Linked DNA regions of Struthio camelus. The protein of the gene in region 1 purifies or fractionates together with the protein of each later gene. This does not show direct contact. Links are inferred from orthologs where the notes say so. Each region holds a gene or a part of one and is shown in the gene's direction. Other genes may lie near its edges.

Region 1 (7,203 bases):
TTCTCACAAACTCTGAATTCAGAGTTTGTGAACTTATTAAGTACATCCAAAGTCTAGATGTCTAAAGACATCATCTAAACATGGGCCAGAAAGCTTCTGCAAACATCCGATTCAGCCAAGGCAAGCTCAGATACTACATCACTTTCAGTATGCTCTCCCCGCTGCCAAACTGACCTGTGACTTTTCTGGTGGCTCAGCTATTTCCCCTAGTAACACGTCACACAGGACCTAATCTGGTATCACATGGCCTTGAATCTCCTCAGCTTCTGCCTGAAACATAAATAATGTTTATTTGGATACAAGCATTAGTTCCCTAGCCTTCACATAATTTTTTTTACATGTATATGTGTGTGTATATATATATATATACACGTGTACACACAAACATATATATTTTTATATATATATATATATATATATTTTTAAAAACACAACAAAACACAAAGTGAAGGCTGAGGGACAGGAATATCCACAGCCTGCCTAGAACTTGTAAGGCTATTGAGAATCATAGTTACGAGTACAGTAGAAATAGGTGTAGCTATAGTCTATTTACTGAAGTTTATTTATTGACTTGCACACTACTAGAAATTTTCCTTTGGGATTACTACAAAAAATTAATCTTGGCATTAATTAAGTTCGGCATTTCTAGGTTGAACATTGATTTATTGGCTTAGTTTAGACAATTTTTCTTTTTGGTGATTCTCCACTAATGAAGAAGTGCCTGTTCAACTTGGAAATACATCACATCATCGGTCAGGATTTGGTATTAATCGTGTGAAATGTATTCCTTTTTGGGGCTGTGGTCTCAAAAGCAGTCTCAGCTAAAGAAATAAACGTGATAGGGAACAAGTAACTTCCTGAGAAGGTATTATTCTTAAGTGGCATTATGAACTACTTCATAGACGCTGCAGTTTCATAATTTCACATAGCATTGTGGAGCTAGTAGTTCAGCTCAGACTAGACATTCAATACAAGAGAATAAGCTCCCATCCTGAAAATATATATAAAAATTAATAAAAGTAGTCTATGAATGGGCTCTTGGTTGAAAGAGCTACCTCCTACTTAAACCGACCAACTCCTTAAACTTTTGTAGACGCTAACTGAACAGTCTTTGAAGCAGCATGAAGTTTTATTTAAGGGTAGGCTTTAACATATTGTCAGCACAGGAAACATTACATACAAAGCTGTCATCTACAACGCAATCAAAAATTACATAAGCTGTAGAGAATAAGTTGTCTGATAAGGTTGCTCTGTTAAAATTTGGACAATCACATAGAAAAACTCCAGAAATAAAGCTTTATTAAGCCAGTACTGTAATTATCCATCAACTTCGGAAGACAAATCTTTGAATGCTTTTACCAACAAAGACAAGCTGTAGCATAATAAAAAGTAGAAAGAAACTGAGGAATGCACAGGTAACTTGAATAACTACTCATTTTAATAAACATCTTATTTTATGTTGACATTCATAGCTTATAGAACTATTCCATAGCCATTTTCTAGACATTTACTTTTGCAGACGATGTCTCACAGGTCATCACCCCGTCCATTATTATCCCATACACGCTATGGCTGTATACTTCTTCATGTACTCACTCAGCTCATTTCTACTACAGGTTTTTACTAAAGCTGTGGAGAACTTATCCTAGGAGGTTCTACCAGAAGCTTCTTAGAGCCTTTAGATAAAAAACAAACACTAGTTGAGAGGCTTATATTTCACATGCCAGAAGTGAACACAACTACCCGGGCAGATGATTTAAAACAATAATTGATATAGAAATAATACATGTTGATAAAGGAACACAGATCTTACTATGTCTCTTCACTTTGCAGTTCATTTTTATAATTTCTGTTTTAATAACGCAACAGCCAAGAATCAAAGGGCTTACTTTTGTAAAGCTAGTCTATTAATGCCAATCCTTTTGCAACCTGCTACAGTTTAGAGCATAAGAAATTGGCCTAGCAAAGTTAATACTAATGTTACAAATTAAACTCTACATATTCAGCTGAAGAATCCCTTGAATACTCTAGTGTACTCTGCAGGAATACCAAGGAAAACATCTACCTTTCAGAAGACCCGTTGTAGTATTCCCAGATATTTGCTGCACTTCCATCTTGCAAAAAAGAAGCAGAACCAGAAGATATCGGTTTAGTTTCTCAAAGACAACTGCAAACTTAGTCTTTCAGTTCATGAGAGAAATAAAGGCAACTCTAAAAGACTCTGGTTTTGTTAGCAAAAGTCAGCATTTCTTAGAGGATAGACTTTTGTAAAGCCTCATGCTGAACATGCATAAAAGCACTCACTTTTTTAAAAAGCTGTTCAAAAGGGCTCAAGCATAAGCTTTTTCCCCTTCTTGGCCATAGTCTAGCTCCGCAACATCTCCAAGCTCCACGGACACCCCAAGTTTCCTTTGGGTACTGTAACGAAGACAGAGCATTCTACAAACAAAAGGCATCACTTCTATACAGGAGTTTCACTGGCAATGCATAGCTGTTTCAAAAAAATCAAAAGAAAAAAAACTTTACCTCCAACTAGGTTTGGACAACTGCAGTATTTGTTACTAGAAAGATAATGAAATACTTCACAGTATTTTCCTCCTCTTAGGAGGCAGAGATTTTTACAAGTCTCCTATACACATCATTTTTCAAGCAAGGAGCTAGGTTTTGAATTAGCTATACAGAACTTGAGTACCTGTACTGAACGTAAATTCTCATAGAGCACTTCTGCAGATAACTGTGTTACAGATGGAAGGTCTAACAAGACCCTGTTTTTCCGTGTTAAAGTTACTAAGCAAATTCTTTCACTCCTTCACATGACAATGAGACTCACGACCCCAGCTTGTTCAGTTTGAGCCACCCCTAAAAATTGAGCCTAGGTCCTCAGGTCATCCCTGTTCACCAGCTCTGGTGGACAAGCGTTTCTGCTATGTTTCTCTTACTGCTAGGTGAGTCAGCCTTGCCTGAACCACAGTCTGAGATGCATCTTTGAGAGACTGTGGGGGATACAGTTATTGCAGCAAGCCGGATACCCTATAAATATAGGCACAACGGGGTGGGGGAGGGGGGGGAGACCGCGCTTCAGAGCTGCACGGACCTTGGTGCAGGGAACGCGGGGAGGTACACAGCAGCCCTCAACCTCCACTGCCTACCCGGATAGCCTTTTAGCCTCCCGCAGCCTAGGGACACCGCAGCAGGGCCCAACGCCTCAGCATCCACCTGGCTGAGCCGGCCCCAGCTAGGGCGCCCGGAGGGGCAAGGCCCGCCATCGCCACCCGGCCCCTCGTCACCGGCGCCCTCTCGGTCCAGCCTGCCCTCCCGCCGAAACAACGCCTCAGCGCTAACGGGGCACCGGCGGGCGGCTCGAGCCGCCCCCAAACCGGCCGAGAGCCCCTTCTCCCTCAGGGACGAGCGCTCCCCGCCAGCGGCGCGAGCCCGCCCCCCTCAACCGCCGCCGCTCATCCACACGCCGCGCCGCGCCGCCCCTCCCCCCACGGCGCGCGCACCCTTCGCCAGCGCAGCCCTAAGAGCCGCCCTCAGAACAGCACGTCACACCGAGCCACCAGCCAATCGGAGCGCAGCAACACCTGTGCCCGCGGTTTAAGAACTACGAGGCGGGCCGGCGACTGAGTGACACCTCGGCTCGGCCTGTCAGCGAGCAGCGGCCCGCCTCCGCCCCCCCCCTCCCGCGCGCAAAGCGCTGCTGGAGAGGGGGCGGATCCCCTCTATCTTCCCCCCCACCCCGCCCGCTTCTCGCTCCCTCCACCCCTCGGAGGCGCGCAGCGGATAGACAGGCCCTCCGCCCAATGAGAGCGGAGGCCGCTTGCGCGGCGGCAGCGCCCGGGACCAATGGGAACGCCCGCTGGGCGGAGGCCTGAGGTTTCCAAACGCTCCGCGGCGCCATGGGCTGAAAACTAAACCGAGATGGAATCTCCCAGTCTGAACCGGTTTGAGCCGGTTCCGAGTCTGTGGCTTTAGGAGGGGGAGACGCGCCGCGCTCAGTCCCTGCTACCACCGCTGCCTCCGCCGCCGTGTGTGTGACCTGCTCATAGGGGAGCCCGCAGGGGGAGCCGCCGACACAGCTGGGGGGGCAAAGTTTAGTGCGAGCTTGGGGGGGGGGTGGGAATGGGGGTGAACTGAGCGGCGGCCAGGCCTGAGGGAGGGCGGCCGCAGCGGCGGGAGTAGCGAGAGCCTGGGGAGGCGAGAGAGCCGGCCGCACGGGCCGAGGCCTGGGGAGCCAGCGGCTTAACGAGGAGAGAGCCAGGGCCCAGGCGAGCCGCAGCTCGGGCAGCCGGGGCCACGAGGAAGGCGAGAGTCCCCCGGGGGGCCTCGGGAAGCCGGAGCCCCGCGCGGACCCCTCCCCCGGGAAAGAGGAGAGGGGAGCGCTCGCCGCTTGCTGCGCGCCCGGCGGCGGGCGGCCTTGCTGCGGGGCGGAGAGGCAGGAGGGAGCCCCGCGGGGAGCGGGGGCGCCGGCCCGGGGGCCGCAGCCTTGGGCTGAGCGCGCAGCGTAGTCAGGCCAGGACACGCTTGCTCGAGGGCAGTGTGGGGCGGAAAGGAGTGACGCTAATAATAAATACTCCGCAGGGAGAAGGGTGCGCGTGTATTTCTCCCTCCTTCCCCCACCCACCCCCCCGCTTCCCTCCTCGGGCTTTTTTGGGGGGGGTTTATTTTTCGATTTTTTTTTTTATTATTTTCATTTTTTTCGGCGCGTGGTTAGAAACTTCGCTCACCCACCCCTACTTTTTGAAGGAAGAGGCTGTAAGAAACACCTAGGTAAGTAACTGCTAAGGGCGCGAGACGGGGGTGTTGTAAGGCGTGGGGCGGGGGGGGGGGGGAAGAGAGCTCGGGAGGAGGAAGGTGTGGGGCCGTGAGCCGTAAAGGCGGGGGAAGTGGGAGGGCTACGGCCGGGTGTGCGTGGAGGGCGCGAAGTCTTGGCTGAGGCAAGAGAGAGGCGCAATGGGCCCTGACCAGAAACGGAGGGGGCGGGGGAGGTATAAATCGGGTCTGGGGTACAAGCATCCTAGGCCTTACGGTGCCTGCCGAGGAGCCGGAGAGGGAGCCGAGCCTACCACTGATGCTGGGGCCGTGGGGAGAGCGGCGGCGGGGGGTGCGGGAGCCGCCGCCGGGGCGCACGGGCCCGGCTGCCGACGGGGAGGGGGTGGGGGGGGAGGCCTCCGAGTCGGTGTGAGGGGCCGAGGGGGAGGGAAGGGGGATTGGGATCGGGCACGGGGAAAAACTAGGGACATAATCTGTAAATTATTAGGAGTGGAAGTTTCCAGAAATATTTTTTGTGTGTCTGTGCAGCAGTATTGAAACGTCCGCCTGGATCACGTGGGGGCCCTGTATAGAACGCAGGGCTGGGGCGGAGGGAGGGAGGGGGGAGGGAGGGGCCGCGCTGCGGCGGCCCCGCCGCGCTCCGCAGGGCCCCGGCCCGCCCGCCGCGGCCCGGGGGCGCCGAGCCCGGCCCCGCGCTGGGCACGGGAGGCCCCGGCGCCGGGCGGGCGTGAGGTATTTTGGGGCGCTCTGTTGGGATGCAGCTGTACTAAGGAGGAATGCCCCGGGATCGCCGGCGGATGCTTTGTCAGGCAGCGTGGATTTAATCTTGCACATGAGCCCGCGCCGGTAAAGTAGCGGGGGGGAGAAGCAATCGTTTCATTAGGGTTTCTGGTGTGTTGTGTGTAATGCAAACGCCTTCGTGGCGTGCTCTCTGTTTCTGCTTGTGCAGCTGGAAAAATAGACGAGTGTGATGCAAATAACTCGTTGGAATGGAAGAGGATAGCGGGGTGGTAATTCGCTTGCATTTAGCAATGGAATTACGTGTTTAGGATGGAGCTGAGCGACTTCCCTAGTGTGTGTGTGCACGTGTGGTGGATTTTGTTATTGCTGTTTTTGTTTTGATTAGTTGCTGCCCCCAGTCAGCTTTCTCTAGCTGCCTTACTTTGTAAATGGTTGCATGTGCTCTAGGGACCGTTGTGAATACTCCGAAGTATTTCCTTTTCCTTTTTAAAATGTGTATTTTCATTCTGATGTGCTACATACTCAAGTGGTTCAGGTAGACCATAATAAGATAATTGTGGCCTTAAACTTAAGGTCCAGGGTCACTTAGAGTTGGGATAACTATGTAAACAGCATTCTGTAAATGCAGTTCTTCTGACCTTCGATAGGTGTCAGATTCTTGCTGTGTTCAGAATTTTTTTTTTTAACTTCTCGTTTGGCTTTTGTTGCCCCACTTACTAGTAGTGTTGAACTGATTTGTAGCCGGGCCTGGAACTGGCAGTTAAAACGGTTCAGGTTTAGGCGTGATGGGAAAAGTGTAGGAGCAGAATAAATCAGAGGTTATAAACTTAATGTGGGTACCCTATAAGGAGTAGGAAATCGAGCTGATTGCAGCTGGTATTGACCACAAAGCCACCATTTCTGTATTTCAGTTTGCAAGTAGGTAGGTCATTTTGAAGATAATGCTGGGAGTGGCAAAGGACCCTATTCAGAACATTTCCTTTTGGCTTCCATGGGGTTGCTAACTTCTCTTAGTCACCCGGCTGTTGGATTGCGTCCTTAGCGCTGCATAAAAACAACTGAAACGGGCTTAAATCCAGAATGAATGGTGCTACCTGAAGAACATCTAATTTTAAACGTTTATTGTAGTTGAAAACGTCATTCCCAGCTCACGGTTGAGCCATGGAAACGGTATGTGAGGAGAAAGGGACATGCCTAGGAGTCTGTGTGTCTGGTGGGAGTATTAACTGCTCTAAGCTGAAGAGTATATTGATTGGTTGGCTTTCTTTTCAGTAGTACTGCTTACTGCCCGTTTACAAGATGAAGTTTTTAAGAGTCTTTCTGAGTTAGCAGAACTTTATTCCTTTTTTTTGTCTTGCTTCCATACATAACGTTATGATCTTGAAAACTTGAGTGGGGAGGGCAGATGTGTAATGTTATGGTTTAACTTATTTCAGTTTTTACTTGATGTTTACCTGGAAGGATAGAACAAAATATTATAAAAATGCTGGCTGGACGATGAGATGGAACCCTCAACATGAACACATTAGAGCAGTAGTACTAATTAAATATGCATTTAATGGCTTTAAAATGTAACTGAAATGTTCTTTTCTATAGCATTTAATATTTTTGCAGTATAGAAGTGAATACGATTTCTTGATGCTAGGTGCAAAAGTGTGTTTCTAAAGAATGATTTTCCTAGCTTGCATG
Region 2 (7,581 bases), on another chromosome or scaffold:
GGAATTGTGCAATTCAGTTAGCAATGATGAGCTTTGCTGTTGTGCAGGGTGCTCAGGGAAGTACGTGTACTGAGGTAGAGAATTAAGCTGCTTTACTGTGGTTTCAGTTTAACATAATTTTCCTTTATGACTCAACGAGAAATGTGTCTCATGACTGTTTGCAGAGGCTGACCAGAGCTGACCACATTGACCATGGGAGGAACAGGATTCTCTCCATCCTCCTGAAGCCTTGGCTGTCAGGAATCCAAATCCAAGCACCTGCTGTTCCCACCCGCTAGCCAGCCAACACTATAGTGTTTTGAGAGTCGTCTTTGTCTCACGAGAAATACATTCAACTTACGTTTCTCTTTGCTGTCCTTCTGCCCGTCTATGCATTGTTAACCCAGGTGTATTAAAACAATATTTGTTTACTAATTAATCGGACCCATGCTCAAATAGGGGGACGCCTCACACAAAAGCAAAGCTTTTGTACCAGAGCAGTCCCATTCCTTTAGGAGGATCCTATACTGAAAAGGAACTAGGTTTTGGTGCTTTGTGTAGTTAAGCCTACAGGGACTCCTCTGTTCTCTACAACAGAAGAAAAGGATATAACAAAGCACAGATGCTGTCAGTGAAAAGAAAACAAAAGCGAAAGCCAGTGCAAGCTGTGATATCACTGATGCACTGATTATAATAATAAAAAAACATGGAAGCTGAAATAAACTAGGTCTATTTATTTCAAAATATTTACTGTGTCATCAAAAGTGCAAGTTAAGGCAATACTACTGCCTTGTCAAATATGTTTTTGACACAACAGTTACAAGTATATACATAATAGTAGCAGCTCTGGGCAGATTTTTAAACTCAAGAAGTTCTTCCAGTGAAAAAACAGCAGCGAAATCAAGTTACAGGAGAATCATCCAGGAGTCACAGACCTTTACAAGAAGTAAGGGAAGTTAAACAAACAGACAAACTCTACTCATACATTTTATATATAACTCTATTAATATACAAAACTGAAATGCTCTGTTCCTAAAACTGTAGTCAGATAGGTACACATATCAGTGCCCAGCAGTTCTACTTAAGCAGCAAGTTTAAGTCCTTCCTGCTAGCTCTAGCTTGAGCCGAAGTTACGGTATGTGGGTTCTCTAAGAGGCCTGAGCTGTTCGAGGAGGCCTAAACTGAAATAACTTTTACAGCTTTTCTTCAGGAAACACTTCTCAAAATAGATGCTCTACACAAGGCAAAGTTGTTTGCTAAGGTGTGAGAAAGGAAGTCAGCTAATTTGATAGGTCCTCAAAAGACTCCCTAATCCAGCAGTTAAGGTGTATTTTGTAAATTGTGTAATGCTACTGCCCTTCCTTTCATGGTTGCAGGTAGTCAAGAGAGTCTGAGAGAAACAGCAACCCAAACCACTGAGGTCAATGGACTGCTGCTTTCTGTGTGTAGCTAAATAGGTAGTACAGAAGTTGGTCTGACCCAAGAGCCTTTCCAGAAACTTGACATTTAGACTCACCGAACAGCTCATGAGAAGACTGGTTTCTTCCTCCATTCCGCTGGTAACAGTAAACTCTGGATTGTGAAAGCACCTGTGACTGTGCTCTGTTATAGTGTTTTCTAGAACTGACCGGAGCTTCTCTTCTGTCATATCCTGAGATAAATTGGGTTAAAAGAAATCTTAGACTTAAGTTGCTCCGTAGCTTAAAACTGCCTCCTCTTGTTCAGAAGGAGGCTGACCTCGCAATAGACAGAGGATGTTAATTACACTTCATCCACAACATAGCTTACCTGTGTACTGATGTATAATCCACACTGGCAAAAAACCAAGTGATTCCGCACGGTCAGGTTATTCCTAAGAAGACAGCAGACACTGAGCATCTTCACAACAACAACTAGAACAAAGGCAGACCTTAGCAAGAGTTGTTAGATTTTTGGAGCTCGTTGCTCAGTTTTCTATTTTGTTGAAATACCCACAAACAGGAGCCTGTGTTTGCCTGTTGCTTTTGTTAGCGCCTGTTTCTAAGCCCAAACTTTTTATGTGCGGGAGGAGGGTGGAGAATCAATCCCTCTTTGTGCTAATTATGGCTAGGTTGATTGCAGCACCAAGGTTCCTCACAGAATACTTTGTTCCATGAATGGCACAGAAGAGAAATTCTGTGCTATCACCTTGCAGCTGAAATTCAGCCTTAACTTACACAATGATCTTGTTGTAACTCCCTTCAGAGTGCTCTAGACAGAGGCGGCTGCACGAAAAGACCCAAATATCTTGCACAGAACAACAGGAAAGAAGCCAGCGTTCATTAAGAGAACAATATCTAGAGTAGCACAGCTTTTGAGTGCTGCTCAGACCTGCAAGACTACGGAGTAGAGAAGCCCTGGGAGGCTTCTGTCACGCATCTCGTTCCAGCGCCAAGAGCGTTCTTACTTTCTACACACGGGGCAGATGATCTTGTCACCGGCATCCAAGCCATCAAGCATCGCATTGAGACATTCTTCATCAAACTGAAGACTTCGCTCATATTCTTCTATAAGCAACTGTTCTGCAATCAAGGAACAGAACACCCTCGGGCATCTGTTATGAGCTCAAGATGCTACAGAAACATGCATGAAGTTGCTTGGTGGACAGTCTGTGACAGCCACTACTTCTGAACGTGTCTATCTTATCTTTGGATCGCATTTCTACACTTGGAGGAATGATTCCTGTTAATCTAGTTTTTCCTATGGCTCAATCCTTAGGCGGTCTCAACTGTGCAAATATAACACACTTCAACCAGCAACCTAGAAATACTTTGCATTGATTTATACATGCTCCTACAGCTCCCAAACGTCACAGTGCTGTCTCCTGACTCTATTAGCTTCTCACAGACCCTAAAGCGCCATTCAAACTTACAACTGTCACAAAGGGCTCAGTGCCCTAGAGAGGCCACAGATACTTCCAAAGAGGCTCTTCTTGAAACTCCCATGGTCTACAAGAACTAAGGAGTTCAGTCTCACCCCCGTTTGGATTACTAGAAAGTCAGAAATATTACGATTTAAACTGAAGTCTGAAAAAGCGTTTTGAGAAATTACCTTGCAACACCAATTCATGTTGGATTTCTTCCAGCACTGCTAGTTCGTCAGGATCCTCTAGCATCTGAAAGGTGCATCAGTCAGTAATTCTCCCATTCTGCCTACATTCTCCCTTATTTTCCAGCGCCTGACTAAGCTGTCAGTGTAATGTAAGTTCACTCCTTACTTGTCTATCTGTCACATCTCTGCATTTGCAAAAACATGCACTGTAGAAAGCAACATACACGATACTAATCTGTGCAAAAATATTCATAAGGGATGGGATCACAGGCTGCCCAAGAATCTGCCTTTTAAAACGTTAGAGTCTTTTTACCATTTCTTGGAAGTGAAAGCAGTCAGTGACACGAGCGCTCTGAAAACCACAGCTGTGGAAATCCCCCCTCTGCTGCGATTCATGCCCAGCTTGTGCTGGAAATAAGGAAGTTCCCCGCTCCTGGGCCCGAAGGCCACCGCTCTCACAGCTGTTTCACGACATCCCGCACTAGCTGCCGAAGCTCGAAACCCAGAAGGTCTGAGCTGGGCCAACTCCAAGCAGAGGAGGCTGGAGCTCACCGGGGAAGAAAGCAGCTACAGCGGCAGAGCGGTGCACCCGATGTGCCCACCTCCGACGGGCGACATCCCGAGGCGAGGAGCCCGAAGGCGGCGGCAGTACCGACCTGTGCCAAGGGCTGCTCGCCGCGCAGGGAGGGCAGGCTGCCGGGCGCGGAGCGCAGGGCCTGCCACTCCTGCTCCATCACCTCCTGCACCAGCTGCGCGCCCAGGGCCGAGGCGCCGACGCGCTGCCCGGCCTGCCGGTACCGGTCCAGCAGCTTCGCCCGGCTGTTGCGCAGCCTCTCCACGCAGCGCTGCGGAGACAACACGGGCCCGTCAGTGACGCGCGGGGGGGGGGGGGGGGGGGCTGCTACAGCACTGGCGGAGCGGAGCGGCTGTAGCGGCAGTCGGCGCCCGCCCGGTAACGGCGCCCAGGCCCAGCCCACGCCGCCCGCTCCCGCAGCGCCTCGCTGCGCGCCCGGAGGCCGCCAGACGGCTCCCCCTCTCCCCCGGCGCGGCGGCCCCGCTCACCCGGCGGTAGGTCTCCTTCCAGGGCGGCGCCGCCGGCCCCTTGTACAGGGCGCGGTGCCGCCGCAGCGGCGCCTCCATGGCCGCCCGCCGCCGCCGCCACCCCCGCCACCCCGCCCCGCCTCGCCCGCCGCCGCGCCGCGGGCATGCCGGGAGCCGCCGTCACCCCGCCCCGGGGCACGCTGGGAGATGCAGTCCGGGCCGACGCGAGCCGATGGGAGCCGCTGATTGGCTGCGAGGGCGGGGCGGGCGGGCGGGGGAGGAGGCGGCGCGGCGCGGCGCGATGGCGGCCGAGTGGGGCCCGGCGGAGCAGTGGCGCGCGGCGCTGCCGCAGCACGCGGTGCTCTGCCGCCTCCGCGAGCGCAGCGCCGCCGCCGCCGCCGCCCCGCGGCCGCCGCTCATCCGCAACCTGCTCTTCGGCCTCGACGGCGACCTCTTCCTCTGGGACGGCGAGAGCAGCGCCCTGCACACCATCGGCCTCCGCCGCCTCGGCGGCCCCGAGCCCGCGGGGCTGGGCCGCTACCAGGTGGGGAGAGCCGTTAGCGGGGGGGGAGGGGAACCGTTATGGGGGGGGGGATCTGGGGCCGTTAGCGGGGGGGAGGGGGGACCGTTATCGGGTGAGGGGCGTCTGGGGCCGTTAGCTGGGGGGGGAGGAGTGGGGGACCGTTATGGGGCGGGGGGGGCTGGGGCGGTTGGCGGGTAGGGACGACATGGATCGGGGGAACGTGGGGTCCTTACCGGCCGGGGCCGGGGGGGTCGTTACCGGGAGGGGCTGGACCGGGACCGGGGGGAGGATGGAGATCGTTACCGGGAGAGGCCGGAGATGGGGACGGGATCGTCACCGGGACGTGGGGGATCGTTACCGGGAGAGGCCGGGACCGAGGGAGGAGATGGGGACGGCGATGGGTACCGGGAGGGGCCGTGGGGCAGCGAGCAGGGCCCCGTGGGGCCGGCGTGCGCTGGGCAGCGGCAGGGCCGGGCTGCGGGGCCGGGGCCGGGCTCAGCGGCGAGGGGCGGCCGAGGGCCCTGTTGCCGCCTGGGCGGGGGGGCCCCCTGGCCCCGCTTGCCGCCCTCCCGGCTCGCACTTGCCCCCTGTCACCGAGCCGCTGCCGCGTGCAGGACTGGGGGTAAAACCATCAGCCGAGGAGCACGCGTGGGTCGGCGTGGTGGCGGCTTCCCCGTGGCCGTGCAGCCGCTGTGTCCGTCGCGGCTGGGCTGGAGGAGTTAAGTGACGTGTGGCTGCAGAAGTACTTCTCAACGTGGGGCCCTCGCTCAGGGAAACGGATGGATTTTTTGTATGATGGTGTGGCTTGAAACAAGCTTTATTTATCACCCCATGGCCTGTGCATAAATCGCCGTGCAAACTGGATACTAAATCCTGAACGCTGTACTTCCATGAGCGTTTCTGATGGCTTGCGTTTAACTGTAACACTTTTATTTTCAGACTCTTCTCTGCATAAATCCCCCCCTTTTTGAGGTCTATCAAACACTGTTAAGCCCCACGCAGCATCATGTGGCGCTCATTGGTACTAAAGGGCTCATGGTACTGGAACTGCCTAAACGCTGGGGGAAGAATTCTGAATTTGAAGGTGGGAAATCAACAGTCAACTGCAGGTGGGTAAGACCTGAGGTGGTTCATGATATCCTGTCTTGCTGTTTGTTCCATGAGAGCCTCTGTTCTCGTCTGGCTAGATAGGAAAGGCATTGGTTGTATCAGGGTTGTAGAGACAATCACAAACGCGGTTATTTTGGCTCGGGGTTTGCTGTTTGGTTGTTGCTTGTTGCAACAAAGCTTGTTGCAATTGCAGAGGAACAAGGTATTCTTCTGTATTTTTCACTAACCATTTGGATCTTTTAGCATTGGCAGGTAAAAGCACGTTTTCAGGTGGAAATGGCAAAGGGCTACATATTAAAGCTGTCCCTTCAGCCTTAAGAATTATACAGCCAATGCCTTTGAAACATTTTAAATGGGTTTCCCCTTCTTCTTGCCCCTACTTTCCCCTGGAAGTAGTAACTCATTCTGTTTTTGTTTTTGGGAGGGATGTGTGGTTCTTTCGCTGTTGTTTTTTGGTAACATTGCACGCTTCTGCTCTGTATTACAGTACTATTCCTATTGCGGAAAGGTTCTTCACAAGTTCAACATCTCTGACTTTAAAGCATGCTGCCTGGTATCCCTGTGAGACATTAGAGCCCCATATTGTGCTGTTGACTTCAGATAACACCATAAGGTAAAACCTGTTTATAACTGATCATCAACTTTTTTTTGTAGTAGCCAGTCTGATTTTTCACTGGATCTTTTTGCATCACCATTCTCACCGGGTTTACCAAAAAAACGTAGACTGGGAAAAATTTTAGGCTGATAACTACTGATGTTTCTGTATCAGCAGGGACGCGTGCAACGCTGACAACTGAATTAACATTGTTCCTATCTCTTTTCTCCAGGATTTACAGTCTAAAGGTGCCTCAGACACCCATCAAAGTGATTGCTCTCTCAGACGCTGAAGAGGAGACTTTAATAATAAATAAAGGGTTTGTGTGGCTTCTTGTTTTTGAAATGTATCAAATGTGTTTTTAATTGAATGAGTGGTAAATCCACTAGAAAATCTTCTCATGTCTTATTGGTGCGCTAGCTGCACCTTTTTTTACCCCACGTTTATTTAAAAAAAAAAAAAAAAGGAGGAACAAGCTGTACAGTCTAGTGTTTGCTGGCATTTGAAAAATACACATTACACATCATCCTTAACATGTGGTTAAAAAGGGCTTTCTGAGAGAGGAATGCAGAAAATAATTGTCCTTCTCTTTTCTCCTTGGCCTAACTGAAAAGGAGAAACTCGAGGATCTTGGCTAGTCAAGCCATAGACTGATATATTACACAGGAAATACCGGTACGTCCCCTTGTATCCTGAGAAGTTGGACTGGCTGGTGAGCGTATTTCAGAAATGCGGCACAGGAAGAAAGATGTTACCTGCAGGCTTTTGCTGCTGAACATAGGACATCAAAGAACTGATTGTCAGCTGTTTAGCAGTAGTTTGTCTGACAGCACATACTGATGGACCTAGATAAATAACCTGTGTTCTCCCAGTCATTGCTGACTTCAGGTTTTGTTTCGACTTGTCCCAGGAGGGCCTACACAGCATCGCTTGGAGAAACTGCAGTGGCGTTTGACTTTGGCCCACTGGTGCCACTCCCAAAGAACATAGTTGGACAGCGAGGGAGCGAAGAAGTGTTGGCCTATCCTCTGTACATTTTATATGAAAATGGGGAGACATTCCTCACATATATCAGTCTGATACAGAGGTAGGCCTCACACTCATCCTTACGTTTCATGTGGTGGTTGTATGTTTGTGCAATGCTTGGATTTCAGAGCCATCTCTCAGCCTGGCTCGGGTTCTGGAATGGATGCTAGGCTGGCTTTACGATATTGCAAACTGTTCTGTCTTCTCCCATGGCAGTACCAATAGACTTCAATCCAAG
Region 3 (7,982 bases), on another chromosome or scaffold:
TCTAGTTCCATTGACTGCAGAGGAGCTTAGGTAAGTAGTTTAGACTAGACAGTAAAATTTAGATGGCTTAAGAGTTGGGATATGTTGCAATTTACCTCTGGAGAACTTACTAGCCAAGTGTCTACGGTATGAATCAAGGTTCAGCAGCACAGGAACTGAGGGCAAGGGTACTGAAGATGAAATATAGTATTAAAGATGTCCTACAATGTTCCTTATTTCAGGTTGTGCCAGTATCCAACACAGATTATATACCACTTCCATCTCGTTGGGCCATTACCCCACATAGACTAGCCCAGAACTCAGTGTGGTCTGGCCACAACCAGTACTAGCTAAGGCTGGGGCATCCACTGTGCCAGAGCCAGTAAATGACACTAGCAAAGAGATAGTTACAGCCATGCTTCTCAGGGAAATACAAGCACATTATATAATGAGCTTTAAAATCCCATTAATGACTTCAGTGTATCAGAAAATAATTCTATTACCAAAAAATTAATGAGACATTATTGTTTCCTTCTAATTACGTGAATGCTTCAGTGAACACTTATAATCTCAATTTATATATTGTTTAAACTTTAAAACATTCATTGTTCATATGCAGGAAGATCTGCTTCCTTATTTTTCAGCTTAGCTCCCAGATCTCTTTTTTGCTGGTTTTACTTCTCCTTTTTAGGAAAAAAAAAAAAAAAAAAGGCCTAGCTTTTTTTTTTTTTTAAATTTGTCCTCTCTCCAGTTGTGTCTAAATTCAATGAGGAAAGTAGTTATTTGGTTCCTCAGTCTGACTATGAGTGAGCAACAAGTTATTACACCATAATTTCATTCTCTATTGTGTGGGAAGTCAGCATTGCATCATCCTTAGGACTGAGAACAAGAGATGAAGAGATGAAGATCCCTTCTTGGTGGGTGCGGTCCAAGATTTGGCCAAATTTCAGGTTCTTTTTGTTTTGATTAGTTTCCTCCCTCTGCTGTTCCCTCACAAGAATCTTAAGTGGAAGGGCAGAAAAAAACTCTCTTAGTCTAATGGTAGGTATTGAAATTTTCTGTTTAGGCTTTACATTTGAGAACAGGTATTTCTGTAACTCAAATTTTACAACCTAAACAATCTTTCTAAAGCTGCTTTCTTTATATCTGGAGTATTTGGGGATTGGGAATCACCAACATGTATAAGGGCACGAGAACTACAGGTCACTGAAAATATAAGGGGCAACTATAAAAACTTAAGATTCAAAATATGTTATTAGTAAAATTGTAAAACTGGTAGTATCCAAATCTCAAGCAAAAGGATACTATTTGGACAACATTATCAAATGGCTGTCTCATGAATTTATTTACTGGCAAATTGCTTATGTTCTTTTGTAATGAAACCTTGGTTATACTTGTGGAATGTAACAGCCAACTAAAGACTAATTAAATGCCTTCTTAGCGAAGTGGAAAGCAGTTATCAAACAGTCACAAAAGGAAAATCTGTATTAGTCTCTATCAAAACTGAAAGACCCAGAATTTTGAACAATACACTCTCCATGCGAAGAGCAGAGAGAACTACACTCTCTCCTCATTATGTGCGATTTTGCTAAACCCTGTGTGAGATTACAAACCTCTCATATGCTCATTTTAAGATATAGTTGTAAATTGGGGACGCTAATAAATTCTTACTTACTCAAAATAGAAGAGCTGTATAAACACAGGAATAATAATAGTTCTGTTACATATGAAAAGAACTGTTAAAGAGGGGTTATTTTAATCTATAAAGTAATGGAGATAATTTGTACCCTTAGCAGAAATACACATGGACAAATCTGACAGAGGAATTCCATGGAGAAGTAGGGAATGGAGAGTATAAGGCAATCCTTCCTTCTAATGGAAGATTTTTCTTACCTAAAAGGCCTCACTCTCTTCTGAAGACCGCTCACAAAGATCATTTGTAAAAGCAACTGATAGCATAATTTTACATTAGTAACCAAAGATTCAAATTTGCTCTTAAGTCAACATACATTTTTAAACCTTCCATTCCTTGTTTAGTCACATACTTTACACTGCTGTGTTCTTTATATTCTTTCAGCATCTCTTTTGACTTGGTACCTTCCTTTGCCTCATCAGCTCCAGTGTGGCATACATGCAACATTTTTTTGGTCATGGATGATCATATAGCCACATAATCCTGCTTAGTGTAGGCCTTTTAGAGAAAACAGCACTTGACTAAACCTTGTCTACAGCCAACATAATAAAGATGATCTACCTTATTCACATTGCTTTTATTTGTTTTGTATGCTTGTCAGTTACAAAAAGCTGACAAAAAACTGATACTCAGCCTTACTAGCCCACATTAAAGGCTCTTGAAGAACACAGGAACGCGTAAAAGCAATGAAAGGTGTGTCACTTTGGAAGATGGCTAAAGTTTATGTGCCAGGCCTACAGCAGGTGTTAACAAAAAAACAGACTGGCTTTCACCTGGCACAAATCTAGATAAGGTGCCAATATCTACTTTGAATGTTGCTGACTGCGGAAAAGACAGCTTTTATGGTGCAGACTTTTCCATCTGCTTGCACAATTTGCCGTAAGTACTGTAACTTTTCATGGCCCAGAGAAAGTGCGAACCCTTGAGTAAGTGATCTGGAACTTCTTCCCAGGGTATGGTTGCAGATCTGCTTTTACAGTGCATCAGCTTGTCACTTTCACGTTGGGTGGAAATTAAGATGTCTGATTAAAGAAATGGAGCCAAAGAAATACTAACAAAATACACCTTGCAAGAATGAGATTGAAGGACTTAGAGTGAATGCAGCCACTCCCCATAAAAAAAAAAAAAAATCCCATTCAGGAGTCTCTCTTGAGCTAACAAAAGAATCAATAAACAGTCAGGGATTTCCTGTCTGTTACCAGTTTTAATCTGGTATAATGACTATTAAGGAAAGCTATTGAAAAGCTCCTTTCTAATTTGCAGTGAAAATGAAACTTCATTTCTTAGTTCACTGCTTGGGGTAGAAATCAATTGTAGGTCCCTCAAACCTCCTAGCTGTTTAATTTCTAGCTGCCTGGGCACTGGAAATAAAGAAAAGAATTTCATTAGAGTTACCATTCTAACAGTAATTCTTTATAAAAGCAACATTACAACACGTGTGGGCAAAATAATAGATAAAAGTATGCTTTTAAAAATGACACTCGAACATACACATTTTTCCCTAAGGTTTCATCTGTTTCTGAGTTAGAAACAGTGAACTTACGTTCACTCATTATACCTAAATATGAAGGGAACTCCCCTCCCCTTTTACACATACCTAGTATTACCAAGAATTACCAGCAAGATCTTGTTCGTACCTTCCCCCATAATTTGCAGAAGAGCTAAAATGAAGTATAGAATCTCTCAGGGCCTGTCTTATTCTGTATTTATACAGAATGCATGAATGCAATTCCATAATTCAAATGTAAATACAATTGTTGAACTTTGTTTAAATATCAAAATGATGGTGTTCATTTCCATTCAGGTTACTGGCAGCATCATTCACAACTGCCACCATTAATGTTTTATTCAGGATATGCAGGAAGGCGGCTACCTCCAGTGGCATCTTTGAAAAAACAGGGTTCATGGAGTTCACCCACTTCCAATCTGTTCAAGAGAGAATTTATCTGCTTTTAATATACAATAGAGCTGAATTTTTTAATTTTTCCATCTCGTAGCAACACCCGAGCACTAATTTTTTCTTTGCATTTCCCTTGAAGACCATACTGGGGAGAGGAAGCTACCCTCTGGCTATTTGGAGCTGCAGTAAAAACCTTACATATGCTCCAACTTACTCTAGAGAAGGGGACAACCATTTAGCAAAGTCCAGCAAATTCTTCAGTCCTGATCAGGGTAATATACACTGCTTTCTAAGATATCCCTAAAAGAGCTTACGCTGAATTGGTACATGTACCTGGCATCGCACAAAAATACTAGGCAAGACTGGAAAACAGTATGTTTTCCAGGAGGAAGCTATGTTCACACAGCACCCAGCATCCTAGTCTGCTTTTCAAAAGGCCTACTAGCTCAACGGTAATATCACACTGTTTTCGTTTCTAGCATTAGTTTGTCCGTTGCTAACTGAAGGCTATCTCTTCACGTCAACTTGCTCCACGATGTTTTCTGCCTTACTTGACATCTTATCTCCTCCTACATAGCACAGCACAGACCACGATAGCTGGTTGAAAAATCAGGCCTAAACTAGGAAAGGTCTCTCAGTGGGACACTTCCAGCAACTCGTCCTCGTATCAGCACAGCTCCCACTATCAGAAAGTGTTTTAGCCAAGCTCAGCAAGTAAACAAATTATACCAGCAAAAACACCCTCAGGCCGCTATCTCTGCCAAACGCTTGACTGACATTCCCTAGCGTAGAAACGTTAAAAATCGCATTGCCAACCAAGACTCCTAAGCGGTAGCATTTCCCAACACAGACCTCCAGCCGCACGCCTAAAACAAGTAAGAGTTTTCCACCTGCGAAACACAAGCACCCGGGCTCTCCCCGTGAGAGGCGGCACACGAGGCGACCGCCACTGCCCGCCGGTGGGGGCACCGCGCCCAGCGCCCCCCCTCTCCGACTCCCCCAACGGCCGCTAACGGCCGCCCTCAGGAGGGAGCGGGGGGGAGGGGAGGGAAGGGGCGGCGGCAGGGCCCGGCGCTGCCCCGGGGCGCGGGCCGCCGCCAAGCCGCCGGTGGCAGCGCGCAGGCGCGGGGCGCGGCGCTGTGGGCGGCTGCGCGTCGGTGGGGAGCGCCGCGTCCAATCAGCGGGCGGGGTGTGGAAGGGGAAGGCGGGGGGAAGGGTGGGGGGGAGGAACGGGGCGGCAAGGCGAGTAATGTTGTTGGGAGTCACCTGACTGCTCTCGCCGCAGTCGGGCCGCAGCCTCTGTGGCAGGAACAGCCGAGTCAGGGGGAGCGGGAGGAGGAGGAAGGCGGTGAAGGCGGCTGCCGTCCGGCCACCGGCCGGCCCGCGGGTGACGGTGTCCGCGCGGAGGGGTGGCGGCGCGGCGGAAGGTGCTGAGGTGAGAGGCGCGGGGCGGGGGGGAGAGAAGGCGCGCGCGCGGCCGCTCGGTGTCCGTTGGGACCGGCCGTTGGGCTGAAGGGGGGGGGGGCGCGAGGGAAGCACCATTCCGACGGAGGAGGGGGGGGAAGCGGAGGAGGCTGCGGCATGTTTACAGGGGCGGTGTTATTCATGTGTCCCTCTTCCCCCCCCCCCCCCACCCTCCTCCGGCGGTCGGAGTAGTGGCCGGTCCCGCGGCGGGGCAGGCGGGCGGCCGCTGTCGGAGGCTGGGTCCCGCGGTGGGGAGGACGTCAGGCCGGAGCAGGGCGGGGGGGGAGCCGAGCGGCGGCGGCGGCGTCCTGCCTGCGTCGGGCACCGGGCGGCGGCCTTGCCCCTCCCCCCTTCCCCGCTCCCTAGTGTCATGTCTTCGGGTATTTTACACCCCCCCCCCCCCCGAAGTCCGACTTGGCGCTGCGCCAGATGCCTCTGTGCTTTGGGCACGAGCTTTTAGTCGTTATTCAGCGTCTCCTGCGGGTTTCAGTGGGTGCCCAAGTGCCCGTGCGCTCCGGTAACACAGGCGTGACTCTCCCAGTCTGCGCTCGCCAGCCTTGTGTGAAAGGGGCAACTCTACAGCGCTGGAAATCCCAGCGGTGACTGTGTTTTGCTTAGGTGAAACACGCATCATATGTGTTTGGAAGGCTGGGAAAGATTTATTTTAGACTATAAACAAAGAGATATAAATCCTGTCTGTCTTGTTCTGTACTGTGAAATCCTTGGCATGCTTTGGAAATGTTGAAAATGAAGTAATTAGAAAAGCAGGTGATGATGCATTTACATCACATTCTGTTTACATTCTCCATTTTTAGTATGTTAATACCACAGTAATCCTAAATACATGCACAACCGGGACCTCAGAAACACGTGTTGAATATATAGTTAAAAAAAAAAAAAGGAAGGTAAACATTGCAGCAATCAAAGATAACTATATACATATAATATGTATACGATCCTATAGTAATTCTTGCAAGAGGTCTTAATTTGAGGCACATCAGATAGGTGCATGGAAAATGTTTGATTGTAGTAGTGGAGTATTTGTAATACAGCAGGAAGAAACACTGTAAATTAAGGTTACACAGCACAATGAATGCTCTAGTAATATAGTCTTTTATCGCAGAATATTACACCATACTGAAGAGAAAACAAATGAGAATCACCCAACCAAGCATAGTGAGTCCAAATTAAAGCTGCTTAGATAATCCAAATTTTGTTTTATGGCTTATGAGCTTAACTTTAAAGGTGATTCAATCAGCATAGTTCCTCTTGTACTCCCTTACATATGTGAGTGAAGCTGTGTGTGTAATAGCACATAGTAAGACCCCAAAAATAGTAGATTTACAGAGAGAAACTGTTGTTGCTGAAAACAGACTATCCGCGTTGTATGTGCTTTTGGAAGGCTTTACTTCAGGTTAGCTCTAATGGATCACTTAGTATTTGTACTTCCTTAGATGTACTTCTGGAGTACGTTTTCCAGTTTCTTTTTATCCACAGAGAACCTGTTTTGTTCTAGTCCAAGACCATCCTGTGAAGTGAATAGAATTATAGTAAGTAGGATGTTTGGGGGAAACGTGCTTTAGAAATGCTCTTCTGATTGACTGAAACTCTAATACAGAAGTTCACATAGCATCTACTGTCAATATTTTATGTTGAGAGTGAGTCTGTATGTGTGTATATATATATAAAGTAATTTTGAGTATAAATTGTGTATTTTATACTCAAAAATGTGCAAGATCTTGGAGTAATAAATATTGATTTGCTTAATAGGTTCTAAAATCCTTGTACTAAACATATTTTGATCAGTAGTAATCTTAATAAAGTAGAAAATATATGGATTTGATTATGTCTGTGAAAGTCAGCACATTAATCTGTCATTACTTTCTGCTATTAGAATTGTCTCATATTAAAAACTATACCCTTTGCATTCATTTAGATGTAGCACTATCATTGGGCGTAGACTAAAAATGTCTGTGGGGGTAGAATAGAGGTTGCCTCATATATCAGGTGTGTGAGTCCCAGATAACTTTGCCCTATAGCTTTAGGAAAATATAACTCAAGAGTCTTTATTCTCCCCCCTCTCGTTTCTATAAAATGAGAAGCGCTCTGATAAACTCCTCATAGGTTTCCTGGTAGTCGTAGACCTGTCTTTCTCAATGCACTGGGCATGTTGGTGTGAGAGGGAGGCATGGTAGATTGGTCAAAGGATTTAGGTATATGTGAGTGCTGACATTTTAGTTGTCAGAGTTCTACTGCTGAAAGGTTCATGACGAAGTTTTAGGGACTGAAATATCCTATGTGGTATTTATCTTTATAGCATGAGTGCTGTAAAGGGTTAACTTAGGGTTATATGCAACCCTAAGTTAAGCTATAGTTAATGTTAGTTGATGTCTATCCACTTCTGCGAAATCTCAAGTAAGCGGAAAAATAGCTGCTGAAGCAGCTATTAAGTTGTGTGAATTCAGCCTGGTATGACCTAAGTACCAATAATACATTAGGACCCCTCTGCAGCTCCCCCTTTCCCTTCAGCTCAGAGATTAACAAGTTGAGGGGACGGAGGAAATCACAGAAAGGCTCATCTTGCTGGAATAAATCATAAGCTGTATCACAAAAGTTATCTTCATCTCCAGCAGTGTTCTGTGTTTTTCAGTTAAGACCTTATATGAAAGGAAATCTTGGTGAACAGTAGTTGGTCTAAATGTGAGTTTGCAGGTCAGAGTAAAGCTCAACTGACTGTCAGCTACTGAAGCTTTAAAAAGAAGGGCAAATTGACTTTGGAAACATTAGTGAAGTACATTGGAGAGAAGAGGCAGCCAAAACGCCTTTAGATGAGAGCACGGATCTCAAAGAATGTTCAGGTAGTTATTAGAATCATGTGGAGATAACGAGTTTGAGTTGCTTCTTTTAACTCTCAGGATTATGTTGGTAGGAGTGTGGTTGGATTCT
Region 4 (7,928 bases), on another chromosome or scaffold:
TACCTTGCTGTGGGTGAAGTCATGGGGCTATTGCATAATTGTCCCTAGTGCCCTCTGCCTGCAGTGACTTTGGAACTTGATCTGTCGGCAACAGCGAGCCATTGGCACTGCAGCCATGTTTGGTACTGACAGATCTGAGCCGGCATCAAGCGCAACAAGCTATATGACAACGCAATTTGGCACCTGCCACTAGAAAAGTTTGTTGGTGCTGGCCTGGCTGTGGTAATGTAACAAACAGAGTACTAAAGTGGCCATGACTTTTCCACCCCAGGCTCACCAAAATCCATTTCCAAACTAATAGCAGCTTGGGAGAAGCTGGGCTGAGCAACAGGTGGTTTTACCTCTTATGTCCAAGTTGCTTCTAATTGGATGTTTAATCATGGCATTAGAAGTCTGACTCTAAATCTATACCAAACACCTTCGTAACATGGCTTGAAACTGAGATACCACCCTGTTTTCTAATATGTTGATCCCACTTATGTGTCAGACGTAGTCAGCAGTTAATTCTGGCCTTCTGAGTTTGAGCTGTGTTACTCATTGCTGGGGAGAATTTCCCAAGGGCCTGTGGACGTGGAGTGTGAGTGTTGCCACTGTTGAAGCAGAAAATGGGCTTGCTTGGCTCAGGGGTGTTAGACAAGGCTTGCCCTTGCAGTGGCTGTACCCAAACCCTTTGGTGGCATCCTCCTTCTCTGGAATGTAGCTGTGGTTCTGCCCTAGCCCAGCCCCGTGGTCCAAATGAGGACTGTAAGAGGATTTGTAAGAGGTAGATTGTAAGAGGATTTGCTTACTCCTTTGCAGGCTGCTTCGTGAGCAGGACCTAGCGGTACCTGCAATTCAGGCCCAATGAGGGAACTGGGCTTTGTTTTGCCTGGGCTACTTAGTCCTGAGCCACTTTGTGGACAAAGTACAAACTCACTCATGTGCTCACTTGTGTTCAGCTTAGCCAAAGGCCTACAGTGGCAGAGCTGCAGGCCAGGAAGATCCTGAGATTTAATGAATATGTGGAAGTAACAGATGCTCAAGACTATGACCGGCGAGCGGATAAGCCATGGACAAAGCTAACACCAGCTGACAAGGTAACAGGGAGTGTCCTGTCCCCAGGTCTGGGGAGGAGAGCTAGACTGGAGTGTTGCATGCAAAAAAGGGTATGAGCAAAGGAGACTTGCTCTGTTCTTCTTGCTTCACCTCTGCACCTTTCCCTTTGCTGTGCCACCCCACCAAGCACCAGCAGTATCCCATCACCCGCATGCACTGTACCCAGCCCCGCTTCCTGCTCCCTCCACAGCAACGTGGAGCCCAAACAGTGTGGCCTGCCTCTCAGTTCCCAAATGATACAAGAATAGAAGGCATGGGGTGTTGGTCAGAGGAGTGCAGTTCCTCACAGGCTGAGGCAGGCCCAGGCAAGAAGGTGGCAGGGAAGATCCCCTGTTCTTATCACACCCCAGCCACCTGCCCAGCCCTCAGCGTAGCAGTGGTAGGGCAGATTAAACTCAGTCTAGCGTGGGCTGACTTGAGGAAGCTGGGGAGGCTGCTGCACTCTGAGCTCCTCTGTCTACTGAAAGGATCTGGGGGACTCAGCCCTGCCTGTCAAAACTGCGGTCACCCTTCACTTCACCGCTGAAAGGTGGCGTGGAACAGCCCTGAGCAGGTGTAGAAGTACAGCATCTTCTTACCCCATCTAAGCTCACTTGAGATGGGTGCTTTAGTGGGAGGTAAAAAGATCTCTCCCTCTTTGTGCAGGCTGCCATCCGGAAGGAACTGAATGAATTTAAGAGCTGTGAAATGGAAGTCCACGAGGACAGCAAGCAGTTCACGCGGTGAGTGAGAATACATTACTCGCTCACTGTACATGGGCTCAGAGTTCCTGCTGTTCTTGTTGGGAGCGCAACAAGACCAAGTGCTGCTGCGGTAGTGCTGAGAGGCCAACCTTTAAAACCTTAGAAAAATGACCAGTGCAATAGTTGCAGGTTTCATGCCCCTTTCTACCTTGGGGTGTTGCTGGGTGACTGGAAGAGTGATGTGAAGTAGGTGATGGTTTCTCCCTGAAATGGGGCTCTGATACAGTAGTCTCAGAAGTGACCAGAGGTGGTCTGAGGTGTAGATGAAGCCACTGTGATCCACTGGGAGCCACTGTAGCTGGAGTGTGCTGTTCTGGGACTGGAGATGGGCAGCAGAATCCACAGCCTTAGGCATTTTGCTTTCCCTCTCAGCTTTGCCTCCTGGAAAATGGGGTTAGCATTAGACCGCTCTTTGTAGGATGCTCTGAGGTCTACTGCAGCTGGCAGGTGTCTGTCACCAAACACCTTGGTAGTTAGCTCTGGTATATCCGCAAAGTAACTAGTGGATCATGGCCCAAGTGATTCTTTTTTTTACCCTGAAAGTTGCCCTGTGCGGCTAAGGTGAGTGTGTTTGTGGCTCAGAGGAGCTTTCTAAGGTGGGGTGAAATCCTATGATGTTAACAGCTTAACTGAGGGCTGAGAGTTCAGATGTAACTCACTTTACTCTTGTTGTCCATCTGTAACACTTCAGCAACCATTTACCCCAAGTTCCAAGGGTGACACTTGGCTTTTTCACTGGGCGTTTAGGTACCATCGACCGTAATCTTCCGGGAGGGAGCAAGAGATCCGAGAGGACTGAAAGTTCTCAGCATCCATCTCCTGGCAATTCAGTGAGGGTGAACCTCAACTCTTCCACGATTTGCCTTCAAAACACCTAGAAAAGGGCTCTCGGGGGCAAAGGGGGGTGTCCTGTCTGAATGTAGCATTTCACTGGAACAAACACGTCTCGAGTGCCATCAGGCTGGAACTGAACACTATACCTCGCACGGCTCAGCAATATGCCTCTCCTGGCACCAGCATCCCTGCCGGGAGACCACGCACATGTGAATGAACAGTTCCTTCCCCAGCTCCCTTTCTCAACTGTGCCAGGCCCAGTTCTCAGCTGTACATACTCCTTATGATTGGAACTTCTTAGTTTTCCTTCTCCTTACCAAGGAGAGGGGGGAAAAAAAAACCCGGCAGCTCTGGTGTTTGAGAGCTGAGGAATGGAGAAGCGGATGTGCCAGGAAGCACGTGTGTATATTAGCTGTGTACAGAAACCCTGCACAGATGCTGACCTGGCAGACAACTGACATGTGACTCTCTTCTTTTTTTTTTTTTGGTTTTGCTTGTCTCTGTAATGTACGTAATGTCCTGAATCACTACTGACCAATGGTTTTGTTGTCCTGGAAGGGAATTGTATAGATATTAACATATGCTGCATCTTTTGTTTAAAAAAAAACAAAAACAAAAACCCCCACACACAACAAAAAAAAACCCTTAAATGTATAAAAACATTCCCTCTCCACTCTCTCACACTTGCTCTGATGTTAACAGATCTTGCCTTGAGATACTTAGGCTTGTTTAACAAATTACAGAGCCAGGAACTTAAAACATTGTAGAAAGGCAACAGTCAATTTGGGGAAGCTGTGATAGTAGTTAGTTCTTTTTATTGTGGCTTCCTCTGTATTTTTTTTGTTTTAATTCTCACAGATCAGGGTGCAACTTGCCTTTTCTCTCTTTTTTTTTTTTTAAAACAGCAAAACCTACTGGAAACTTGATAACTTCACTGTGTGGGTGGAAGGTGGGGGGGGGGGAGAAGAGGTTTAAAAAGTGACCTTAAAACAGCTCTTCGTTCTCTTTGGAGAATGATTTCTTGTCGGTTCTTCCTGAGTGTTTGGATTTTTAATTCTGGTGCGCAAAGCCTAGCCCTGCGGCTGCGATGCCACCAGCCCTGAAGGAAGGGGAGAGGGGAGGCGGCGCAGCGGGGCGGGAGGACTCGCCTTGTTCACAGACCGCTCGACCGCAGGGTGAGGGGCCGCCGCAGGCCGGGCCTGGGCACCGCTCTGCGCCCACTCCCTGGGGCCTGCTGTGCCGAGAGCTGCTGCGCCGGGGTCCCCCTGCCCTCGCCCGGACCGTCGGCACCGCTCGCTGCGGCTCCCGGGCGAGGCCGAGCCGAGGGCGGCCCGCGCGGCCTTGTCCCCTGCTGCCGCCATGCTGGGCAGCGGGTGCGTCCTCCTTCATGGCTTCCCCCCCTCCCCCCAGTATGGCTGTGGACTAAATCATTGCATTGTTGTATATCCTTCTCCTCCTCAACAGATTTTAATTATTGAATAAAAGTATTTTAGGATTTGTTTTTTAAAAAGACTGATTTTTATGGCTTCATGGTGTGAGGAGGGGGAGAGCTGCGTTTCAAAGGGACTTTCTGGGAAGGGACTGGGCAAGGGGAGGGAATGCTCGGACTCCTCTTCCTCTCCGCAGCGGCTGGCGATGCCAGCTTTAGGGGGAAATACAAAAAACCGGGACGTTTGCTGCGGGTTCGGCCTTTTGCGCCCTCCCGCCGCGCACGCGCCGTCCCCCCACCCTTTCCCGGCGCCCTCCCGCCGCGCACGCGCCGTCCCCCCACCCTTTCCCGGCGCTCTCCCACTGCGCATGCGCGGTCCCCCCGCCCCTTTCCGGCGCCCTCCCGCTACGCACGCGCTGTCCCCCGCCCCGTCCCGGCGCCTTCCCACTGCGCACGCGCTGTTAGCTCCTTTCCCTTTTCCCGCGCTCTCTCCCTGCGCACGCGCGGCCCTTCCCGGCCCCTCCCCCACACTGCGCACGCGCCGGACCAGCTGCCCAATCGAAACCTGCAGCTGCGCAGTCTCCTCGCGCTGCTGCCGGCGGCGCATGCGCGGAACGCTAGCCCCGCCCCGCCCCGCCCTATAAATTCCGCGGCGCGGAGCTCCTCGGTCTCTTTGTGGGCGGCGAGCGGAGAGGGCGGAGGTGAGGTGTCGCCGCGGGGGTAGGGGGCAGCGGGGGCGCCCTGGGCTCCGGGGTTGAGGGTGGCTGCGGCGCTCTGGAGCTAAACCCAACGTGGATATCCGGAGAAGTAGCTCTCTCTCGGCTCTGTCCGTGTGGCGCGGGGGAGCGTAGGCCTTCGGGCCTGTGACGTACAGTCCCTTTCCACAACGTTGGAGAAGAAGCCGGGCCTCGGGTCTGCAGCCTGCATATTCCTACTGCTTCTCCGAGTCCTCGGACTGTGACGGAGGAGATAAACCATGCAGGAGACAAATACTGTAACTCGGGGATAGCTTTGCGCTGGGGTTGGGCAGCCGCTGCGCGTGCTTTGGGGAGAAGTGCGAATGAGGTCTAATTTGCAAGCGGTTACTTAAAATATTGTTTTCTTTATTTCAGTTGTAAGCTTGAGAAGCTTGAAGTGAATGGGGCGTTGATTTTTCAAGGTAATGTTGCACTAGTAATGTAATATTGTTCCGTGTTTGTAGTTATGCCGCTCTCTTAATAGTTTGTTCTCTAAAGAAGCTTGAACTATACTCCTTTAGCTGGCTTACGCAAAATGAATTGGGTCAACAGCTTGAGGTAATTGAATACCATTATAGACTTGGTAGGCACTATTTAAGAGCGAAAACTTAGCTTTAGATATTTCCCCACTTCTGAGATGTCACAAGACTTTAGATGGATTGGGGGGGAAAGAGAGGTTAACTTCTGAATCTTAAGGAAAAAAATAGAAAAAAATTCGTTTCTGAAGTATGGTTGAATTGTACTTGTGGATTTAGTGAGCTTGGGGCAATCGCCCATGTGCTCATGTTAATCAGTCCTAGAGCAGACTTTAACATCATCTGTGAAGAACAACGTGGATCATTGATCTGGGTACTGGAGCATTGGGATTACATTGAAAGAAGCCACGGGCCACAATTACTTAGGACTGGGAGCATGTGACTGTCCTGTACTTGATACCTGGTACTTGTACCTGATAATGGTGTATTTAATGGATGAGCAGAATGGATTAACAGAATAGATAGAGGTCCCTTGAAAAAATATATGCTAGTATCGTAGCACCCTGTGTGCCCCTTACAGAAGGGGGAGAACAAAAGTGCTTCCTGGCAGATCATAAACAGCAAAAAACCCATGTGACTTGCCAAGTTTTAAGATTCTTTTTTTTTTGTTGTTGAATTTTTTTAACATTGCAGACCCTGACTGAGTGTGAGATGCTAACAGCAGAAAGTAACCTGTCTGCCTAGTGGGATGGTGAGTATGCTCAGAGCACCTCTACCAACCAGAAAATAGAGGAAGTAGATGAGGTCCAATTCATGCAAAGTGTTGAATCAAAATGAGACCGCAGACACTGGAGTAGGCTGGAAGGAGAAGATGTCTGTATTTGGCTATCTAATAGCATGTGCTCATTCTGGGGGCCTGCTGTTTTCTGCTGTATCAGAAGAAAAGGCCCTGGTGGTTGCATGGCATGCTAACTGTTGAATGTTGCACAGTGAAGCAGGGCCTGCTCAGCAGGGCTGACCCTGCACGGCTTAGCCACGCTCTGAGGAACATAGTGGAGAAAGCCTGTAGGAACAAAGGGCCGTGGTGCACAGCACCTGAAATCAGTGTGCCAGTGCACGTTGTCTACACAAGCTAGGAGAATGCTTGTTAAATGTTTGGATAACCTGTCTGTGGTGCTTAACCTGAAATGGAGCCAGAGAAATGAAGCAAGCCATTGTGAATCTTTCTGGTTGTAGGTGAGATGAATTGTTTGGTGCTGGGGAAGAAGGCAAAAGAGTGTGAGTATGGCGTGAAAGTCATATATAGCTTGTGTTAATGTCTGTTCAGGAAGTTTTGAATTACTTCTGTGAATGTCCTGGAGGTTTGTGATGCTATGCCTGACAAATAAAGAAATTACTTTGAAATGGTGTTGTATGGCTGTTTTTTCTGGCATGACTGTTGGCCATTTGTTCATTCCTTGAAGCTCAGGACCCATGACTAAACTTCTAGGGTTTCATAGCTAATGTAGCAGGGTTGTCCTTCGGAAGATCTTTAGAGTCTGCCCAGCGTCATCTCCAGTGATGCCTGCTTTTGAGCTAGGAAGGTCATAGCAGCAGCATGATTATCACTAAATATACTGGTGAGGATACCGATAAATATATGGTATTTTGTATCCTTTACAACCACCAGAGTTCCCTGGTCTGTAGGGTTTGGTGGGGGAGGAGGGTGTGGAGTGCCTTTGCTTTAAGTTCCAAATATCCTTCATACTTTGGGAGATATTTTCTCCCTGCAATTAAGTCAAAGGCTTTAGAGGCTTTTTTTATTCCTGTTGAACCTATGAACCCCTTTGGAACTTTTAACTTAAATGTCAGCAGCTTTGCTTCATAGCTGCAATGTTCCCCACCTGGTCAGTGGAGCATGTATCTACCCCTGGGTGTTGAACATAAGGATGAGTTACACGAGAAACCTGTTTCACAGTCTGAAACAGTGGAATGGGCACAAAGAGCAGAGGGGTGTTTGTCCTGACAAACTTCTAAACAGGAAAAGGGCCTTGAAGGACAAAATACTGAAGGTTGCTGTGGGAGGAGACCTGAAGGGAGCGTGCACAGTCGAGGAACGTGGTAAGAGCGAGCGTGTGGTCGTGAGCTGTAAGTCCAGCTCTGCAGAGCAGTCTGAGAACAGCACAGCTGCCTTGTAAAGTCTGCCTGGAGTTGGCCTAGAGGTGCCACTCATGGGTTAAATAGCTCATGGGCTATTTAACTTGGGAGAATGCCCTTTCTCCTTGCTCTGAGAGTCGATGAACCTTGCTTGAACCGGATGGTGAGGCTGGTGAATGCCTGTGGGGGAGGGTTGGAGGAGCAGTTGTCTGTCTTGGGTACCTGGTTTGAAACTTGCTGGCTCATGGGTTGAATGCTGAGGGTGTATGGGGGTAGTGGGGCTGTCTGCTTGCTCTCTGGAGCTTGAGCTGATCCTGGCAAGACTTGAGGTTGCGCCTGGCTTGGAACTGTGCTGAAGTGGTTGCAGATCACCTCATGGCATGTAAATTTTTCATGGGGGAAAGGGCAAATGCAAATAGATGTGCTTTCTTCTTGACATGCACTTTCCTAGATAGGCTGGTTGTCTTTTTCTAACTCT

Evidence for each region.
Region 2: the proteins of XPO1 (region 1) and NUP88 purify together in Homo sapiens (affinity purification with mass spectrometry; 3 studies listed by BioGRID and IntAct, with this or other methods). This does not show direct contact. The link is inferred for Struthio camelus from reciprocal best matches to the Homo sapiens genes XPO1 and NUP88.
Region 3: the proteins of XPO1 (region 1) and BACH1 purify together in Homo sapiens (affinity purification with western blotting; 3 studies listed by BioGRID, with this or other methods). This does not show direct contact. The link is inferred for Struthio camelus from reciprocal best matches to the Homo sapiens genes XPO1 and BACH1.
Region 4: the proteins of XPO1 (region 1) and RCC1 purify together in Homo sapiens (affinity purification with mass spectrometry; 3 studies listed by BioGRID and IntAct, with this or other methods). This does not show direct contact. The link is inferred for Struthio camelus from reciprocal best matches to the Homo sapiens genes XPO1 and RCC1.

What each region holds. Positions count from the first base shown.
Region 1 is NC_090944.1:131,248,824-131,256,026, forward strand, and holds the start of XPO1 (exportin-1), read left to right. Parts: upstream 1-3,878; 5' UTR 3,879-4,030; intron 4,031-4,098; exon of another isoform or gene 4,099-4,746; 5' UTR 4,747-4,770; intron 4,771-5,442; exon of another isoform or gene 5,443-5,619; intron 5,620-7,203. UniProt on the Homo sapiens protein: Mediates the nuclear export of cellular proteins (cargos) bearing a leucine-rich nuclear export signal (NES) and of RNAs.
Region 2 is NC_090957.1:13,531,016-13,538,596, forward strand, and holds the start of NUP88 (nuclear pore complex protein Nup88), read left to right. Parts: upstream 1-4,368; 5' UTR 4,369-4,390; coding exon 4,391-4,633; intron 4,634-5,551; coding exon 5,552-5,721; intron 5,722-6,209; coding exon 6,210-6,335; intron 6,336-6,549; coding exon 6,550-6,636; intron 6,637-7,227; coding exon 7,228-7,404; intron 7,405-7,581. Other genes in the region: RPAIN (RPA-interacting protein), read right to left, coding at 885-914, 1,496-1,630, 1,768-1,831, 2,405-2,519, 3,049-3,112, 3,705-3,893, 4,111-4,188. UniProt on the Homo sapiens protein: Component of nuclear pore complex.
Region 3 is NC_090942.1:118,932,539-118,940,520, forward strand, and holds the start of BACH1 (transcription regulator protein BACH1), read left to right. Parts: upstream 1-4,769; 5' UTR 4,770-5,007; intron 5,008-6,533; exon of another isoform or gene 6,534-6,586; intron 6,587-7,982. UniProt on the Homo sapiens protein: Transcriptional regulator that acts as a repressor or activator, depending on the context. Binds to NF-E2 DNA binding sites. Plays important roles in coordinating transcription activation and repression by MAFK.
Region 4 is NC_090964.1:6,353,132-6,361,059, reverse strand, and holds the start of RCC1 (regulator of chromosome condensation), read left to right. Parts: upstream 1-4,715; 5' UTR 4,716-4,802; intron 4,803-4,887; exon of another isoform or gene 4,888-5,092; intron 5,093-5,213; 5' UTR 5,214-5,260; intron 5,261-6,007; 5' UTR 6,008-6,065; intron 6,066-7,928. Other genes in the region: PHACTR4 (phosphatase and actin regulator 4), read left to right, coding at 939-1,076, 1,741-1,817, 2,586-2,601. UniProt on the Homo sapiens protein: Guanine-nucleotide releasing factor that promotes the exchange of Ran-bound GDP by GTP, and thereby plays an important role in RAN-mediated functions in nuclear import and mitosis.